2 linked regions of the Saccharomyces cerevisiae S288C genome follow. The protein of the gene in region 1 purifies or fractionates together with the protein of each later gene. This does not show direct contact. Each region holds a gene or a part of one and is shown on either strand. Other genes may lie near its edges.

Region 1 (12,046 bases):
GAACACTCCCTCTTCCATGCATAAGACGAAAAGACATGCGTCTTTCTCTGCATCCAGTGCAATGACTTACATGTCTAGTAGCAATAGCCCCCACCATTCAATTACCAATTTCGAGCTCGTTGAAGACGCTCCGCATCAAGTCGGCTTTTCTACTCCACAAATGACCGCGAAGCAGCTCATGGAAAGCGTGTCAGAATTGGATTTACCTCCGTTAACCCTGGACGAACCACCGCAAGCTATCAAGTTTAACTTAAATCTATTTAACAATGACCCCTCCGGACAGCAACAACAACAACAACAACAACAGCAAAATTCCACCTCTAGTACCATAGTGAACAGCAACAATGGAAGTACAGTTGCTACACCTGGAGTGTATCTCTTAAGTAGCGGTCCATCTTTAACCGATCTTTTGACAATGAACTCTGCACATGCAGGTGCGGGAGGATACATGTCTAGCCACCATTCGCCATTTGATTTGGGCTGCTTCAGTCATGATAAACCGACAGTTTCTGAATTTAACCTTCCGTCAAGCTTCCCGAATACTATACCGTCTAATTCTACTACGGCTTCTAATAGTTACAGTAATTTGGCAAATCAAACTTATAGGCAAATGAGCAATGAGCAGCCGCTTATGTCACTATCTCCTAAAAACCCACCAACAACTGTTTCAGATTCCTCTTCCACGATCAATTTCAATCCAGGCACAAATAATTTACTGGAACCATCAATGGAGCCCAATGATAAGGATAGTAATATCGATCCTGCTGCCATAGATGACAAGTGGTTATCAGAGTTTATTAACAACTCTGATCCAAAATCTACCTTCAAGATCAACTTCAATCATTTCAATGACATTGGGTTTATTTATTCTCCACCTTCATCAAGGTCATCTATACCAAACAAGTCACCTCCAAACCATTCTGCTACCTCATTAAATCATGAAAAAGCTTCTTTATCACCTCGCTTAAACTTGAGTTTGAATGGAAGCACAGATTTACCAAGTACACCACAAAACCAACTAAAGGAGCCTTCCTATTCTGACCCTATTTCCCATAGTTCTCATAAGAGGCGTCGTGATAGCGTCATGATGGACTACGATCTATCCAATTTTTTCAGCTCAAGGCAATTGGATATTTCCAAGGTATTAAACGGGACAGAGCAAAATAATTCTCATGTGAACGACGATGTTCTCACTTTGTCTTTCCCCGGCGAAACTGATTCTAATGCAACACAGAAACAGCTGCCTGTTCTTACTCCTTCGGATTTGTTATCTCCGTTTTCTGTCCCTTCAGTATCTCAAGTGCTTTTTACCAATGAGCTAAGGAGTATGATGCTAGCCGACAATAATATCGATTCAGGAGCCTTCCCCACAACTAGTCAATTGAACGATTATGTGACTTACTATAAGGAAGAATTCCATCCATTTTTTTCATTTATTCATCTTCCTTCTATCATACCTAATATGGACAGTTATCCCTTGTTATTATCTATCTCCATGGTCGGAGCATTGTATGGGTTTCATTCGACGCATGCAAAAGTGTTAGCTAATGCAGCTAGCACCCAAATTAGGAAAAGCTTGAAAGTTAGTGAGAAAAACCCGGAGACGACAGAGTTATGGGTTATACAGACATTAGTATTGCTAACGTTCTACTGTATTTTCAATAAAAATACAGCCGTGATCAAGGGGATGCATGGTCAGTTGACGACTATTATTCGTCTCTTGAAGGCCTCTCGTTTAAATTTGCCCCTAGAGTCCCTATGCCAGCCGCCTATTGAGAGTGATCATATTATGGAATATGAAAACAGTCCTCATATGTTTTCAAAAATAAGAGAGCAATACAACGCGCCGAATCAAATGAACAAAAACTACCAATATTTTGTATTGGCGCAGTCACGTATCAGGACTTGCCATGCGGTATTACTTATATCTAACTTATTTTCTTCACTGGTAGGTGCTGATTGCTGTTTTCATTCAGTCGATTTAAAATGTGGTGTTCCATGCTATAAAGAAGAATTATATCAGTGCCGAAATTCCGATGAATGGTCGGACCTATTATGTCAATACAAAATAACGTTAGATTCGAAATTTTCGTTGATTGAATTGTCTAATGGTAACGAGGCATATGAAAATTGTTTGAGGTTTCTTTCTACAGGCGATAGTTTTTTTTACGGAAATGCTAGGGTTTCGTTAAGTACATGTCTATCATTGTTGATATCTATCCATGAGAAAATACTTATTGAAAGAAATAACGCAAGGATCAGTAATAACAACACCAATAGCAATAACATTGAGTTGGACGATATTGAGTGGAAGATGACTTCCAGACAACGGATCGATACAATGTTAAAATACTGGGAAAACCTTTATTTGAAAAATGGTGGCATCTTGACACCTACCGAGAATAGCATGTCAACAATAAACGCCAATCCAGCAATGAGGTTAATAATTCCGGTATATTTGTTTGCCAAAATGAGACGGTGTTTGGACCTGGCACATGTTATTGAGAAAATCTGGTTGAAAGATTGGTCCAATATGAATAAAGCTTTGGAGGAAGTTTGCTATGACATGGGTTCATTGAGGGAAGCTACCGAGTATGCACTGAATATGGTGGATGCGTGGACTTCATTTTTTACGTACATTAAACAGGGCAAGCGCAGAATTTTCAATACTCCTGTATTTGCGACCACATGTATGTTCACTGCAGTATTAGTGATTTCGGAATACATGAAATGTGTAGAGGATTGGGCACGCGGGTACAATGCCAACAACCCTAACTCAGCATTATTGGATTTTTCGGACCGTGTCTTATGGCTAAAAGCAGAAAGGATTTTGAGAAGATTACAAATGAACTTGATACCGAAGGAGTGTGATGTGTTGAAATCGTACACTGATTTCTTAAGATGGCAGGACAAGGATGCCCTAGATTTGTCAGCACTAAATGAAGAACAAGCACAAAGGGCCATGGACCCGAATACCGATATAAATGAGACAATTCAACTAATTGTAGCGGCAAGTCTATCCTCCAAATGTTTATATTTGGGTGTTCAAATATTGGGTGATGCGCCAATTTGGCCTATAATATTATCGTTCGCTCATGGTTTGCAATCAAGAGCTATCTATAGTGTTACGAAAAAAAGAAACACTAGAATATAAGTCCGATTTACAAATATATAATGGCGGCCGTCTCTATACTATAGTATTTACAGAATTAAAGCTTAGAACTATCATAACTTTCATAATATACCACCAGGCTTCAAAAAGGCATTGTTCCATTCGGAGTTTGCTTGAGTTTGATGGCCCGGGTAAAAAGGTTTGACAAGGCAAGGGGCCGTACTTATTAAAACAATTTCAACATGCACAATTAAGAATGTAAGAGATATATGAGAATGATACAGAGAGAGAGAAAGAGAGAGAAAGAGGAAGGTCAATTAAAGGAGAGAACTGTTGTTAATATGGCAGACCCTGATGACAATGAGGCCGAAGCCACTGGATTACAACAATATAGTGGCGAGACCACTCGCGATGACAATGAAGAAAGCATGAATGATTCTTTCACTTTAACATCCAGGAATAGAGGCAGAAGTAATACAATATCTAGTATTGTTAGTGGTTATGAAATAATGAAAGAACATATGGACAAGGAAAAGTTTATGTACTTGATTCTAGCGAGTCTCCTTTTGTACATGGGATTTGTTGCCGCATTTGCTCCCAGGACGTCTTTATCAAGAGACTTTCGGCGGTTTCACTCTTCCAGATTGACGAATGCAGAGGTTTATAGGATATACTTGAACTCCTTGCAACAGGAAAATAGAGCGAAAGAACATGTATACAAGTATGCTGGGTACATGAGCAACGGAGCAAGTGATTCGTCAACGTTTAAATATACCTTGGACGAGTTTCTAGATATGGGGTACAAACCCAAAGTTGAAAAATATTACCCATGGATAGGTGAACCAGTAGACACTAACGTAGCTCCTTTAGAAAATGGTAAAGTGGTCTACGAAGCAAGCATGATCGAGGATAGAGTTAAAGGTGATCCTGCTTCTCACGCTAGGAAAAGGCAAAAGGGTTTCCATCAATATTCAAAAAATGGAAGTGTAACTGCTCGATACGTGTTTTGCAATTATGGTAGCATCAGTGATTACAAGCTACTTTTGAAGAAAAACATTGATATTGAAGATAAAATCCACATCGTACGATCGGGTAAAATATTACCTGGATTAAAGGTAAAGAATGCAGAACTTTATGGCGCTTCCAGTGTCATTATATATACAGACCCATTTGACGATGGTAAAGTTACTGAGGAAAATGGGTTTTTACACTATCCTTATGGACCAGCAAGAAACCCAAGTTATATTAGGAGAGATTCTGTAAACTATTTCAGTGACACTCCAGGAGATCCGACAACTCCAGGGTATCCCTCCAAGGATTCCGACACTGAACATATGTCACCGGTAGGGAGAGTGCCGAGGATACCATCGGTGCCGATGAGTGCTAGAGATGTCCAACCAATTTTAGAAAGATTGAATGGCAGGGGTTTTCAAATTGGGCCCGGTAGTAATATAAAAGATTTTGGATCATTCACTGGACCTTCAAGCTCTATCGATAAAGTCCATTTGCATAATGAGCTAACTTACAACATCAAGGAAATGAGTAGTGTAGAGGTTAGTATCCCTGGTATATTCACTGAGGGGGAGATTATTATCGGAGCTCATAGGGATTCGCTCGCCTCGAGTAGCGCCGGTGATGCAAATAGTGGCAGCGCTATTCTTTTAGAAATTGCACGAGGAATGAGTAAATTACTTAAGCATGGTTGGAAGCCACTGCGTCCTATCAAACTAATAAGTTGGGATGGTGAACGATCCGGCCTTCTGGGATCTACAGATTATGCAGAAGCTCATGCTGCGATTCTCAGGAGAAGGGCCTTGGTATACCTAAATCTAGATAATGCAATCTCTGGGACAAATTTTCACTGTAAAGCCAACCCACTTTTACAAGACGTGATATACGAAGCTGCTAAGCTCACGGAATTTAATGGGCACGAAGACTGGTCATTGTTCGACCATTGGAAATACACTTCTAATGCCACTATTTCTCTACTTGATGGGTTGTCTAGTTACACTTCATTTCAGTACCATCTTGGAGTGCCCGCTGCACATTTTCAGTTTAATGCCAATGATACTTCAGGCGCAGTCTATCATAGTAACTCCGTATTCGATAGCCCAACTTGGTTGGAAAAATTTACCAATTCTGACTACAAGTTACACAACACCATGGCCATGTTTGTAGGTTTGACAACGCTGATGCTGAGTGAAAACGAACTGGCAAGATTCAATACACATGTTTACCTGAAGAAAATATATAACTGGTATATCGCATGGCACTCTAATCTATCTTCAGCATTTCCCCAGGACGATGAAGTGAACAGCTTAGCAAAAAGGGTTCTGGACTTATTAAAAGTTGCCACACAGGAAGATAGCATCCAATTTGACCAACAAAATGGTATTCTCTATAAAGAGTGTAGGGAAGCTTTACCTGTTTGGGCTTTTTACAAAAAAATCAAGAGCTATATTAAACTGCAACGATCCAATAGCAAATCAAAGCAAATTGATCAATTATTTATTACACACAGAGGACTGAAAGACAGGGAATGGATGAAGTACTCTCTTTTAGCACCTAGTAAGTTTGAGGGATCTGTCGGGGAAGTTTTGCCCGGCCTTCACGAAGGATTGGCTGATATTGATAGAAACGAGGTCATTCAGTGGTTAACCATTTTGCTAAGCCAATTCAGCAACGTTCGCTATTTACTTCAATAAGCATTTAAGTACCTCACCTCAGTATATACATTTATTTTATTTGCATACGTAGAGTGACTTTGAATAATAACCATGAGAGGCTTTTTTGTATATACTCTATAAACATGGCTTCAATTTCTTATACATGTCACACCGTACGTTGTGCGAGGTGATTAGGAAAAGTAAAAGGGGACTAGAAGAATCATGAAATGATTTGTAGATACAGTTATTTGAGGAAAGCAAAAATTACCAATTCAGGAAGGTGTAGGGACGTCGATAGGAGATCACATCGTTAATTAGTGTTAGGAAGAATGAGTTTAGAGGATACATTAGCCAACATGTCATTATATGACGCCAAGAAATATTTTCGTAAAGCTCAAAATGTTGTTTTCAATTATACTGAGATGGAGGGGAAAGTTCGTGAAGCGACAAACAACGAGCCTTGGGGTGCCTCATCCACTTTAATGGACCAGATTTCTCAAGGAACTTACAATTTCAGGGAAAGAGAAGAAATTTTGTCCATGATATTCAGAAGGTTCACTGAAAAGGCAGGTAGTGAGTGGAGGCAAATTTATAAAGCCTTGCAATTGCTCGATTACCTTATCAAACACGGTTCTGAAAGGTTTATCGATGATACAAGGAATAGCATTAACTTAATTAGGATTTTAGAAACTTTTCACTATATTGATTCCCAGGGAAGAGATCAAGGAATTAATGTCAGAACTAGGGTCAAAGCTTTGATTGAATTATTGAGCGACGATAATAAGATACGCGCAGAAAGAAAAAAGGCAAGAGAAACGGCAAAGAAGTACAAGGGCGTTGCTGGAGGATCTGCCTCTGCTGATGGCAGTTTGAATTCGAAGGCAGGTTTCACGTCAACGAAAGTGCACGGCATTAGCGTGAGTGCTGATTTCGATAGTGACAATGAAGATAACGAAGATGGTTCTTTTAGTCAAAATGGATATAACGATAATGCCTCGAGAGCCACATCTACTCCTGGGCAAGGAAAACAAGAACCAGAGGACTTTGTTGACTTTTTTTCTAGTGAGTCTTCAAAACCATCTAAAGAACTCATACAAGAAGATGAAAAGAAGGCGGACGAAGAAGAGGACGATGATGACGAGTTTTCAGAATTTCAAAGCGCCGTCCCTGTTACCAACCCTGCTAATTCGTTTAACTTGCTAAACACGAGCCCAATTGAGGGTATGCCCGCCACCACGAGTTCAATGCCTTTTTATAACAGCTCCACTACCGACCAAGGCAAGATTACCCCAGCTATTGCGGAACCTAAAAAAGTAGATCCTTTTAGCTCTCTCTTTTCAACTGCAAAGGCATCTGCAGAAGCACCTAGTGCTCCTAAAGCATCCCAAGCGAAAGCCGCTGCCTCTAATCCTGTATCTAATAGCACAACTGCACTAAGTACAGATCAAGATGATGATGACGAATTTGGTGAAATGCATGGTGGAGCTGTTCAACAAGAACAGAATACCAATAATAACCATACATCATCCAAAGAAATCGATTTACTTTCCTTTTGAGTGATATTATTGGTTTACACAATATGTAAATGTTTTATAACAATAGAAAGTACTTTGTAACAGGTATTACGAACATTACTATCTAATCTCCACTGTATTTCTCCTTTATATGTTTGTCTTGATTTCGTGAAATAGTTTGTGAACATTTTTTTGATCTTTTTTTCGTAAAGAAGGGCCCTTTTCAAATTTATTTACATTTTGGTCATTTGAAAATACTTTACTTAAAAAGACGAGGAAGAAACTGTAAATCCATAGTTCGAGAGTTGAAGTGCCCTTCAAAACAAAAACTCCTGACTTTTTTTGCTCATTTTTAGTCAATGAACTAAAACTCACCTTCCTTCTCGTTTATTTTTGCCTAGCATTATAGAGCAATTATAACTATATATTAAAGTTGACGCACCGAAAAAAAAGGCACGAAAGAAAACTCTACTAATTTTTCACATCTCGAAAAAGCTCATTGCAGAAGGATTTACCAATATTTCTAAAGTTAACGTAACCATGGCACCGGAAATTTTTGTTAAATTCAAGTGTGCAAGTAGAGACATAAAGCTACTATGGGCGTCCGTCTTTCTTAGACTTCTATCATATGGTTTAACAAATCAAGTTTTGACGCTTTTTTTAAATGCCATCAATATGACAGAGGATAAAATTGGGCTGTTTATGTCATTAACACTGGCAGGGGATGTAATTTGCTCTTACATTCTTACTTGGTATGCGGATTCCTGGGGCCGAAGAAGAGTCCTAGTTTATGGTTGTGCAATGATGTTGTTAAGTGGGTTGGTTTTCAGTTTTAGCGAAAATTTCACCCTCTTGCTAGTATTTGCTATCTTCGGTGTTATATCGCCTTCAAGTGATGAAGTCGGGCCTTTCAAATCTATAGAAGAGGCCATGATTGCACATCTGAGTCCTCATAATGCAAGACCAGAGATTTATGCTATTCACGCCTTGGTTGGAACAATTGGAAGCGCTCTAGGTGCAATAATTTGTGGTATATTTGTAGATCTTTTGAAAAGAACTGGTTTAGCTGCTACTGATTTGCAATGTTATAAATTAGTTTTCTTACTGTATGCCTTCTTCGCCTTTTGCAAAATGGTCATCATGCTCTTATTATCAGATGCTACAGAATTGGACGGGCATTATGAACATACAGATTGCAATGAAGAAACAGCTGAACCATTGGACGTTAACGATGAAACTGCACCATTAATGAGACAAGCAACTCACCCAGAAGAAAGATCCAACAAACTATCTAAGGAGACCGTTTCGGTTTTGATGAAATTGTTAGTAATCTTCATGGTCGACTCTCTCGGGTCCGGGTTTATGACAAGTGGCTGGATGGTTTACTACTATAGTAAGCAATTTTTGATGGGATCTCTGGCGTTGGGTACTTTATTTTTCATCACGCAACTGGTTATGGCATCTTCCACCATCCCATCATCAATAATTGCCAGATGTTTTGGCCCAGTAAGAGCCACACTATTGGTCCAAATTCCATCAGGGATATTTTCTATTCTCATCCCTATGGCCAAGAATTACTTGCCCTTATCTATTTTGTTTTTGAATCTGCATTTTGCAACAACTGCCATGGACGTTACACCAAGGCAAATTCTATTAACAAATATCATCAAACCAAGAGATTTAACCAAAGTTATGGGGGTGGTCAACATTGGAAAGACATTTGCTCGGTGTGTTGGTCCAATATTCACGGGTATACTTGCTAACAATAATTATTTATGGCTATGTTACATCATTAGTGGGTCCTTGGTGATAACGGCGGATCTAATACTGGCATGCATGTTTTTAGGAGTGGACGCTAAAATTAAAAAGCAAATGAACCGCCATTAATGCAGCAGCAAATGTAGAGTGACTTAGAAACATGTGTAGATCATTTCAAGGAAACGTTACGTTTAGAGACAATGTAAATAGTACCCAGTTAAAGTATCTGACACACGAGGAAGTACAACCAATAGCATTTATATTTACTTGATAGATTTGCGTAAGATATATTATTTAAAAATTGATAGTCCTATTTTTTTTTACATCAAAAGATAAGATTGTATTATGTTATAAATTTAAACAATAGAGTGTACAAAGAAGATAAAAGTAATAATAAGAAAAACATATGTAATATTGAAAATCTTTCACTTTTTTTAGCTTCTTAACGGTTAGACTTGGCAACACGTTCCAATTCATCCTTCTTCTTGATAGCGTAAGAAGTAGAGGAACCCTTAGCAGCATTGATCAATTCTTCGGCCAAAGTTTCAGCAATGGTCTTGATGTTTCTGAAAGCAGCTTCTCTGGCACCAATGGTCAACAAAGCAATAGCTTGGTTAACTCTTCTCAATGGAGAAACATCGACAGCTTGACGTCTAGCAGCACCACCACCACCGACTCTGGTGGTGTCTTCTCTTGGACCAGTGTTGGTGATAGCGTCAACAACAACTTGGATTGGGTTTTGGTCAGTCAAGACATTGATGATGTCCAAAGTGTGCTTGATGATTCTAACAGCCTTTAATTTCTTACCGTTGTTTCTACCGTTCATCATCAAGGAGTTGGTCAATCTTTCAATGATTGGACATTGAGCCTTTCTGAATCTCTTGTTGGCGTAACGACCAGCGGTGTGAGCAACAAAGATTGGTTGTCTAACTTGAACGTAGTCAACCAAAGAAGCATCCTTAACTTCAACTTCTTCAAAAGACCATTTGTTGAACAACTTAATCTCGGTTTGAGCTTGTTGGACTTCTTCTGGAATTGGAGTAGCCAAGACGACTGGGGTGAATTCTTCAACAACTTCGAAATCTTCTTGAACTTCAACTGGAGCTTCGGTGTCAGACATCTTTGGAATGGTCGGTTATTTCTAGTCTCTTTTCTTGGTATTATGAAAGGAGTGTAATTAAAATAAAAAGTAATTTTAATTCAAAATGAAATTTTAAGTATTGATAAAAAGTACAAAATATTTTAGAACTAATGGGCACATTGTGGATAATCCATTACCTACTAACGTGAGCGTAGAAGTTGGCCCAAGGTGGAAGGGTTCAGTGAGACCTCCACTAAGCCTGCGGCGAAGGTAGGGGAGCTTGCAAAGGAGATTTCCCAGCAAAGGGGCAGAATTAGACGGGCCCAGTACGGTAGAAAGAAACAAGGCTTTACGTTCTGGGCGGGAGAAAAAGAATTCTCCTTCCCCGTAGCAGGGCGCGAAATGTTTGTTACCATGAATTAGTTTCTGGAAAAAAACTGATGCAGGGCCATTCTCATCTGAAAAATAAACTTGAGACAAATATGTATGGGTTAAGAATAATTATGGGTATATGGGTGTTGTTGTATAAAAGGTCTTGATAAGGAATTACGTAACAAATGATATGCAAATTTGAGAACTCAAGGCTGTTCATTGTTTCTTATTTGTATGCATATATCTATTTCCTATTTGCATATTCACAAGTAGTATTTACAAGGTGTTTTCGTGAAATCTATTTATGAGGCCCGTTATTGTTTTTCCAGTCGCTAAACCAGAATGGTTTTTGAGGTGTTATTTTAATATTTTCACCCTTCGTTGTAGTAATGTAAAATTCGACTGGCTCATCAGATGAGAAGGCAGCAGAGAAATGCTCTGTTCTAAGTAAAGCTACGCCATACAGCCCTTCATTAGAAATCAATAAGCCTGCCGGCCTTTGCTTTCTCTTGGTTCGTTCGGGCGGTTTATTGGTAAATGGATTGAGGGTTGGCTCGTTCTCTGCAAGGCTCTTTTCTACAACGTTGTCGATATGGAATTCTGCGTACTTTCTTTCTGGGTCTGTATCTAAAAGTTGATAATTATCCAGCTTAACTGGGACCAAACGTTTCCGTAGAATGCCTGTAGCATATGTCCTGGCTGTCAGCTCTTGTCCTACATAACATCCTTTGTTTGTGCTTATAGTGTTTGGAAAAAAATCAAAGTTTAGTTCCAAAGGTAGCAAAGTCTCAGATATGTAATCCTCAGTGCTATCTATAAGACCTTTTTGAAATCTGATTTCTCTAACTTGAACGGAAGCTTTTTTATTTACTTGAAAAGGGAAGTCGAAAACGTTAAAGTTAAATAGCTTAGAGAGATCATCCACTTGCTCGGAAGTGACAACTCTGAAGGATTGTGGAAATGTGGAGTAATGCCTTGACATTGACTCAGTTCTTCTTTCTACGTAAATACCCAATATTCTAGGATCTGAGTTAAACAAAGAATTTAAAACATTAACAGCAAAATTATTAGCATCTATGGAATTTTTTGGTAGAGCCATAGGATCCAGTAGATTATCAAACCACGGGTTTTCAATATCTTTGGGCAAATTAGGGAATTGAACCTCAACATCCCAGGTTTTCAAGGAGGAATGATCAATTTTTTCGAATTTAATCTTATTGGCCAACTTGTGAGTTTGTAAAACGTGCAAAATTTTGTCCACTACATTCCCGTGAAGCTCTAACAGATACTCAGGATAATTTGAAATTTGTTCGCTTACGGTCACAGGAGTGGGGTAAATAATTGTATCTGTTATTAACTTCCCCTTACCGTTTAAAAATGCAGAGTACAAACCAAACCTTGAAATATATGGCCCTTGAATACCTTTTTCGTTATACAGTCCCCAATTTCCCAGTCGTGCATCAAATTCTGGCACAGGAATAATTGGATCAACCTTCGTCGTTCCTTCTTCAGTAGGCACTTCATTCTCTTCTACAGTGGTTAG
Region 2 (8,605 bases), on another chromosome or scaffold:
AGTTGAGAACAATGAAAATCTATGGAGGTTGAAAAACGACTGCTGTTCGAAGATTCTTTTCAAATCAAATGTTGTTATGAATAATGGTTATAATAATCAGATCAAATTTGTCTTTGAATATAAATCTGTGGATGCAAATTTCAATAACCAGGATTCATTACAAGATCCACAGGCAAAGTATACATTAGATAAGTACTCTAGCGAGGAGATTTTGCCAAGTTTTGAGCCAGTTTATTCCTGGTCTTCTGCAGCCACCAAATCATCCAAAAATACTAATAATCATCTGGAGAAAAATAACAGGGCGACTCATCGAGTTAGTTCTAAAAATAGCGAAGTCCACGAAGCGGACGTTTCTAGAAATCCGAATACATTTACTCTTAAGCTCCAATACCCAATATTCTCACTTTTGAATATGAGATTGAGAAACATCTCCTTGAAATCTGAGCATTGCATATTATCATCGTTAGACTTTCAAACTTCTAAAGCATCCGAACAACTGACCAAAAAATTTATTTATCCGCAAGAACACAATTCTTTTCTCAAACTGAACTTTCAAGAAATATCGTATAAACTAATCGACGGAACCTCTCAAATTGAACTAGATCCAATCTGTCCTTTGAAAGTGCCACTCACTGCATTTTCATACGATAGCATTAGCGCTACTTTTAAACTGGTTCTGTTACCCAAATCAACTCAACCACATCGTGTGAAAATCACCTTAGCGTACGAACTCGAGCTGCATCCCAATCTGAAGTTACCTGTGAGAACATCATGGGAAACAGAAGTCACATTGAAGCGTTCTATGCCAATTTCCTCGACATCTTCTCAATACTCGAGTAACAACAATAATACCAATCATAGCGCTTCTTTTAATGGTGCGGCCAACAACGTTAATTCTGGTGGTTTGGCCAATCTAAGATTAGGTGGGGTTTCCTCCTCAAGATTTAGTCTTGGAGCTGCTTCGACTACATCATTGGTGAATAGCAAATTAAGCAATGTAAAATTCAAGTTTATTAATAGCAATATAAAAGTTATTAAGGGCGAAAAGTTTACTATGAGGCTTCAGATCATTAACTCGTCATCATCCCCCCTGGATCTTGTTGTGTATTATAACAATACAATAAACCCAATCCCTTCAGCTAATAACGTACGTAACAGCAATGGTATAAACAACTGTGGCATGAATAATGGGACTATCCCCAATTCGCCCTTGACACTGGAAAATCAGTACCAACTGCATAATAAATATAGAAAAATTGCGGAGGGGATTATACTATTATCCAACGATTACAAAATTCCAGTTGTACCTCCGAGAGAAACATACTTCGCGGATTTACGATTTATTGGTATTATGTCCGGATATTATGGCACTCTCTCCGGACTTAAGGTATTGGATTTAAATACAAATGAACTTATAGAAGTTGGAAATGGCGCATCTGTGTTAATCCAGTAAGCGGAACAAGTATACATTTTATTAACATAGACTACATACTAATCTGTAACATTTCTATAAAAAAGTTATTATCATCACATTACACGATAGAAACACTTCCATATTTTTTTACACTGAAAGGGGCACCTAGAAGATTAAACAACTAAACTGAAAATATACGTGCTAGAAAAAGGGTTTTACAGCTTTACTTAGGCGTTGCGAGTCACCCAAAAGAGCAGTTGAAGGACGCCGCCGTTTCACTAGATACATATATATATAATGTCAGAGAAATTCCCTCCTTTGGAAGATCAAAACATTGATTTCACACCCAACGACAAAAAAGATGACGACACCGATTTTTTAAAAAGAGAAGCAGAGATACTTGGAGACGAGTTCAAGACTGAACAGGATGACATATTGGAAACGGAGGCTTCCCCCGCCAAAGATGATGACGAAATTAGGGATTTTGAAGAGCAATTTCCAGATATCAACTCCGCAAATGGCGCAGTCTCGAGCGATCAAAATGGTAGTGCTACTGTATCTAGTGGTAATGACAATGGCGAGGCAGATGATGATTTTTCCACATTCGAAGGTGCCAATCAGAGTACAGAATCCGTTAAAGAGGATCGTTCTGAAGTTGTAGACCAATGGAAACAACGTCGTGCTGTAGAGATTCACGAAAAGGATTTAAAGGACGAGGAGTTAAAAAAGGAATTGCAGGATGAAGCTATCAAACATATTGACGATTTTTACGATTCTTACAATAAAAAGAAGGAACAACAATTGGAAGATGCTGCTAAGGAAGCTGAGGCTTTCTTAAAGAAAAGAGATGAATTTTTTGGTCAAGACAATACGACCTGGGATCGTGCACTTCAATTAATTAACCAAGATGATGCCGATATCATTGGGGGTAGAGACAGGTCTAAGCTTAAAGAAATTCTTTTGAGATTGAAAGGTAACGCGAAGGCTCCCGGTGCTTAAATGATGATGAATAATAAGAACCATAATGAACTAAGGAAGAGAAGGGGCTTATTCCCTATCATTCCCGTCATACATGAGTATCATACTTGATAGGTTCAGTAAATAACTAATTCATACTGTAAATTCATTTATCAAGACAACTATAATATAGATTATTTACAAACTTGTAAACTCTTCTCTTCTAAAAAAACACATCACATAATACTAAGCTGAAACAAAAAGAATAGTATATATTTCCCAAAGTTGCAATGCCAATACTTTTTCAAGTAAACATTAACCAAGGACTTCGCAAAGAATTTTGCGAAAAATGGGCTGATTTTCATTTTACTTGTTGGATCCACGAAGGTGAATGTAAGAAGCATCACGATGCACCGCAATTTGTTGCCCATTAATCTGCGCCTTTTCGTGACGAATAAATATTCGATACACTGCCTTAATATAGTCCATTTTAGACTTGGAAAAAAACCCTTGGTGAAATATGAATTTATTATCTTTTCGTTTATATTTGCATAATTATCATCAATTGTAACTTCATGTATTTCATTTAGTCTGTCCATTACATGCTTCAAATTTGATGAAGATATGGGCCAATCATTATGGTTCTTGACCCCAAGGTATTGAGAAAAGTTCCTGACTTCGTGGCCGCCGACATTCTTATTTGATTTCGTCCCTGAAGTAAAAAAGAATTTTAATGTTCTGTGATATACTGCCAAAACTGTGAAAATGGCATTGATTGTGAAGAAATCTATTAAAAATGGCCTATGGTCAAAAAGCACACGGAATGGTAACGAACTCCTGTCCAGTTTGGCAAATAATACAATAATCGCTAAACACACAAGAATTTGCTGGAATTTTATTAATGTACCCTGGGAAAAATTTTTTTTTTTCAACCATTGTGTTAATTTTGCGATCTTTAATTTGGAGGCTATAGCTTCCACAAGAAAGTGTGCGATAATCCACGAAGGTACCTCACCCTTGGTAAGCATTAACGATATTCCTACAATGGAAGACCAGTGAATATAATGATTTTTTAAAAATGGGAACTTCATCAAAGTTGGATATAGTATGTTCAGCAAGACTAATATAGTAGACTCTCTTAGCCATGGCATGATATCATTTATTTGAATATTTTCACCCTGTAATTTTTTCAATTTCCATTTTTTGACATAAAATACTAGGTTTATTCCATAGACTTGGGTTATTCTTTTCAAGATGATGACGAGTTGTTTTCTTCTCTTCTTGTTCAAGAGGAGTAGAAGCCTTCTTATTATCTGCTTGAAGCCAGAAACTGCTTTCCCAGTACCATTTGGACGATTGTGTTTCATATAGTTAGCAAGTGTATACTCTCATTAGCTCTGTTCGCGATGTGTATTTCGTGGTGCTTTATATAGGGTTTTTAACTTTTCCCCATGAACATTCGCTGTTATGTATTCGCAACTAAAAATAATGTCTCTCTTTAATTTTAATTTACATCCAAAGTACGGAAATGGTAACTAAACTATATACAAAAAAAGTTCGCTCAAAAAAAAGTTTAACTATTGTCCAATTGTGCCCATTTTGGTAAATCTGTTTTGAACTTGAATTTGCCATTAATCTCCTCATACTTCCAAGCATGCAACCATAATTCTAGGTCTGATAGCACAGGATCCTTTAAATCAACAGTATGACATTCAGGACAAAATGTTTCCATTGTCCGACAATTATTTTTTGTCTCATCGACAAATTTTTGAAACCTCACTTTCAATTCCTCAGCATCTAAATCCTGCTGATTCTCCCATCTAGGAAACTGAGTTATAAACTTAAGCCTTTCGGGGTATTTTGTAATATGCGAACAATAAACACTATCGTTGACGATGGGATGACCGAGCCTAGCTAAATGGATTCGAATTTGGTGTGTTCTTCCAGTTATTGGCTTACAAGCGACGACAGTTTCATCAGCATGAGAGAAGTATCTTATTGGGTAGAACTTGGTAATAGCATCCTTCGATGTCGATAAACCAACTGGAAACTGTCTCTTTGGATCGATAGAATATATGGGTGTCATTTCCACTGTAACTTTGGAAGTGTCCTCAAAAGTCGTTTCCGCCGCATTTTCATTGTCCAATATCAATTCGGAGTGAGGAAATCTTCCCTTGACCCTTGCCAAGTAGATCTTAATCATATCTCTTGAACGAATACTCTTCTGGATTTCCCCCGCACTCTGACTGTTCTTGGCCAATATCAACAAGCCTGATGTGATCTTGTCTAACCGATAACAAGGAAGAGCATCTACACCATGTAACTTCAGTAATTCAGTAATTGTGTTCTGGTAAAACTGACCGGTTGGATGCACTGGTATACCACTGGGTTTATCAATGACGAGGATACTCTCATCTTCAAAAACAATATTGAATCCCGCTATTCTGCCAGGTAAATCCTCCGCTTCAACTTCCTGGCTACACCATTGTTTTACCGGCGGTTCGTGCTTATGCGTAGTTGTTTCTAAAACATCATGATTCTTGATTATGGTAGTCATGAGATGATCTGGTACCAGCGGCACACCATCTCGGATCAACCTATATGTGCCTTTCCTTATTTGGTCCAAATAATAAGCTCTTGGGCGAAGTTTAAATTCACTAACGAGAACGTCTATTAGTAACTTACCCAACCAGCGCCCCTTCACGAACGCTGATCTTCTGTTATAATAGGGCCGTACCTTTCTCAGTCCATTCTGTGTATATACCTCAATAACTTTGATAGTTGACATACTTGACAATCATCCTTTTGCCCACTGATTGTCTCGAGCAATCGTCAATAAAGTTTTCACAAGAAACATTTATTTGCCTTTTAATGAAAGAAAAAAAGTAAATTTTTCATTAACTTTTATCATTGTTATCAATCTTCTTGTATGACAGCAAGCTATATATACATACATATGCAAATCTAATGTACATAATTTCAACTATTCATACCATTAGTACCATAAAGTCATTCTTTTTACTGTAAACTACACTTGCATTATCCTTCCTCGTCCCTCTTTATTCTTATAACGTTGAACAGTGATTTCTTACCATGTGTATTTTTGTACTCAACCCGCAAAAGATAAGCATCCTCATACAGAAGTATTATTATTACCACTGTTACTTTTATTGTCGTTATTTGTCTTGCGTTTTTATGTTTATGGAGATAAAGTGGGAATGACTTTATCATATGCAATTATTAGCCGCTATAAGGCTAAGATTCTTCAAATTTATTTCATTTTTCTTTTACCCTTGCCACCCTTGCCCAGTTGCTCCTCCTCTGCGGTTAGCAACGCATCGCGCTCCTTTTTAGCTCTTGCTTTTTCTTGTCTTTTTTGCTCTTCCTCTAATTTTTTGGCATTCTCTTTCCTCGAACCTTGTTCCCATTTAGAAGCTTCCTCCGCTTCTAGCTGCTCCATTTGTGCTCTTTGTTTAGCATGTGCCTGATCTCTTTTTCTTGCTAAGCCAGCTGCTTTCTTTGCGGCGGATTCTGAAAATCTTTTACCCATCTTTTTACTTCCTCTTTGCTATTCTATTATTTCCTGTATAGGCAGGTTTTGTGCTCAATTGATAAATTCTTTTACCTATTAAATATAAACTTGAGTTTCAACTTATTCAGCTTTATTTTAAACATTATACAAGTTTTTCATTTTGAGGGGTCTTTAACTGGAAAAAAAAAGCTTTCACGACTCAAAGAAAAAAAAAAAAATTTTTTTAGGGTAAAAAAAAACTAAGGGCTAATATGAAAAATACAAAGGTTATGTTACTTTAAAATGAGGTTTGGAAGAAGGAGAAAGACAAAAAAGCAGGGCACATGTCAAACTCTTGGAAACTTGAGATCCTAGCCCTAACGCATGTGCTACTTCAAGGAATTCTTCTTATATATGACAACTATTCCAATTTGATGCTAAAACTAGCCCAAAGTGGTTGATGCTGTATCAATTGGTAAAGAATCCTCGATTTTCAGGAGCATCCAACGACGAAGATGAGGATTATTAAGGGCAGAAAGCGAGGCAAGAACAAGAAGCCAACGCTAATTTTAAAAATTCATGTCATTCAAGCTGAAAATATTGAAGCCTTGAAGACATTCAATTGTAACCCGGTATGTTTTGTTACCACTAATACATTTTATAGTCAAAAGACGAACAAGCTCAAGAACTCAAATACACACTGGAATCAAACCTTGAGGATCAAACTTCCGAGAAATCCAACATCTGAATGGTTAAGGATTATAGTATACGACGCCCTACCAACCGGAGCTCCCCCTACTACCCCCAGTAGACCAAGGACAACCACTGCAAATACATCTTCATCGACACTGTCAAATTCAGGGCTAAGTTCTCACTCTCATTCGTCGAGAAATTTGAATGTTACGTCCAAAGGTAATCAAACTTCAACATCAATTAATTCAGTATCATCTTCAGCTACACCGGCCCCTTCACATTCTTCCTCTTCTCTCTCAACAACAGGTCCCGGGTCCACACACAAAAATAGGATTAATAGCTATCTATATTTGGGTGAAGCAAAAATTTCATTACTGGATTTATTCAAGAGGAAGGACACCACGACGAGCTATAAATTTTCAATTGAAGCTCAGCGGTACCATCTATACGATATGAAAGGAGGGAAAGACCAAGATTCCTTGAACTGCAACTTTCTAGTGGGCGATATTTTGCTTGGATTTAAGCTAGAATGTAACGTTAAAAGAACCCCGACTTTTCAGGCTTTCAATGCTTGGAGAAATGAGTTGAACACTTACTTGGGCAGAATAGATAGAAATAAGGCCCGCATGAGATCTTCTAGTTCTTTGCCACCTCCACTAGAAGATATGTTGAGCAATAGTTCAGCTGTTAGTGGAAATGAAATACGACGCGAGAAACCATATAGCGATACTGATCTAGCCCACGATGAAGAGGTCAATGCCGAGGATGAAATAGATGCTGAGGAATCTATTGAAGATATGAATAGCAGCGGCAGCATTTGTACGGAGAGGAGGTACGATATAGACAATGATACTATATTCGACTCTATATCTGAGGTTGTTTCGCTAAATGATGAAGAACTAGATATTCTAAATGATTTTGAAGAAGCAGATCATCCAAATGTGCCAGACATAAATGTGCATGACATCGACGAAGATACCCGTATCAGTCTATCTTCAATGATAACAGCTTTAGATGAATATGATATCGTAGAACCAGAAGATGTTGCAAAATTACCTGCAGTGTCGGAAAATGACATAACATCAGTGGATGACGAAGAATCTGAAAACCAACAGGAAAGTGATGAGGAGTTTGATATATATAATGAGGATGAGCGTGAAGATTCTGATTTTCAATCAAAAGAATACATTGGGAGTCGGCTTTTACACCTGCAAAGGGGTAAACATAATAAATCATATGCAAATTACTTATACAGAAGAGCAAAAAGTAACTTTTTTATATCGAAAAAGGAACATGCGATGGGGGTAGTATTTATGCATATTGGGGCTATCAAAAATTTACCTGCATTAAGGAATCGGTTGTCCAAGACTAATTATGAAATGGATCCATTTATCGTTATTTCGTTTGGTAGAAGAGTATTCAAGACATCTTGGAGAAAACATACTTTAAACCCAGAATTTAATGAATATGCCGCTTTCGAAGTTTTTCCCCATGAAACGAATTTTGCTTTCAGTATCAAAGTTGTTGATAAAGACTCATTTTCATTCAATGATGACGTTGCAAAATGCGAACTGGCTTGGTTTGATATGCTGCAACAGCAACAACATGAAAACGAATGGATACCTTATGAGATACCATTGGATCTCACTGTTGAGCCAGCACATGCTCCTAAGCAACCGGTATTATATTCGAGCTTCAAATATGTTTCATATCCGTTCTTAAAAAAGAGCTTTTGGAAAGAAGCTGTTGACACATCAGTCAACTTAGAGAGACTCGACATTATTCAAGTAATGCTCTATCTTGAACGTCTTGGTTCATTCACGATGGCCGATTCTTTTGAACTCTTTCAGCATTTCAATAAATCTGCTTGGGCCGGCCAGAGCATTACTAGATCACAATTAGTTGAAGGGCTACAGTCATGGAGAAAATCCACTAATTTTAAACGCATCTGGACATGTCCTAGATGCATGCGTTCATGCAAACCAACTAGAAATGCTAGACGTTCTAAACTGGTTCTAGAAAATGACTTG

The links.
Region 2: the proteins of ENT3 (region 1) and CLC1 purify together in Saccharomyces cerevisiae (affinity purification with western blotting; 2 studies listed by BioGRID, with this or other methods). This does not show direct contact.

Annotation. Positions count from the first base shown.
Region 1 is NC_001142.9:650,025-662,070, reverse strand, and holds ENT3 (Ent3p), read left to right. Parts: upstream 1-6,107; coding exon 6,108-7,334; downstream 7,335-12,046. Other genes in the region: RSF2 (Rsf2p), read left to right, coding at 1-3,154; VPS70 (putative zinc metalloprotease), read left to right, coding at 3,382-5,817; YJR124C (uncharacterized protein), read left to right, coding at 7,833-9,179; 40S ribosomal protein uS7 RPS5, read right to left, coding at 9,493-10,170; IBA57 (Iba57p), read right to left, coding at 10,802-12,046. UniProt on the Saccharomyces cerevisiae protein: Involved in the recruitment of clathrin to the Golgi network and endosomes to form clathrin coated vesicles. Plays a role in the trafficking of clathrin between the Golgi network and endosomes.
Region 2 is NC_001139.9:830,745-839,349, forward strand, and holds CLC1 (clathrin light chain CLC1), read left to right. Parts: upstream 1-1,711; coding exon 1,712-2,413; downstream 2,414-8,605. Other genes in the region: TRS65 (Trs65p), read left to right, coding at 1-1,453; PEX35 (Pex35p), read right to left, coding at 2,608-3,738; pseudouridine synthase PUS6, read right to left, coding at 3,945-5,159; LSO2 (Lso2p), read right to left, coding at 5,643-5,921; PSD2 (phosphatidylserine decarboxylase 2), read left to right, coding at 6,398-8,605. UniProt on the Saccharomyces cerevisiae protein: Clathrin is the major protein of the polyhedral coat of coated pits and vesicles. In yeast, it is involved in the retention of proteins in an intracellular membrane compartment, presumably the trans-Golgi. The yeast light chain is important for cell growth.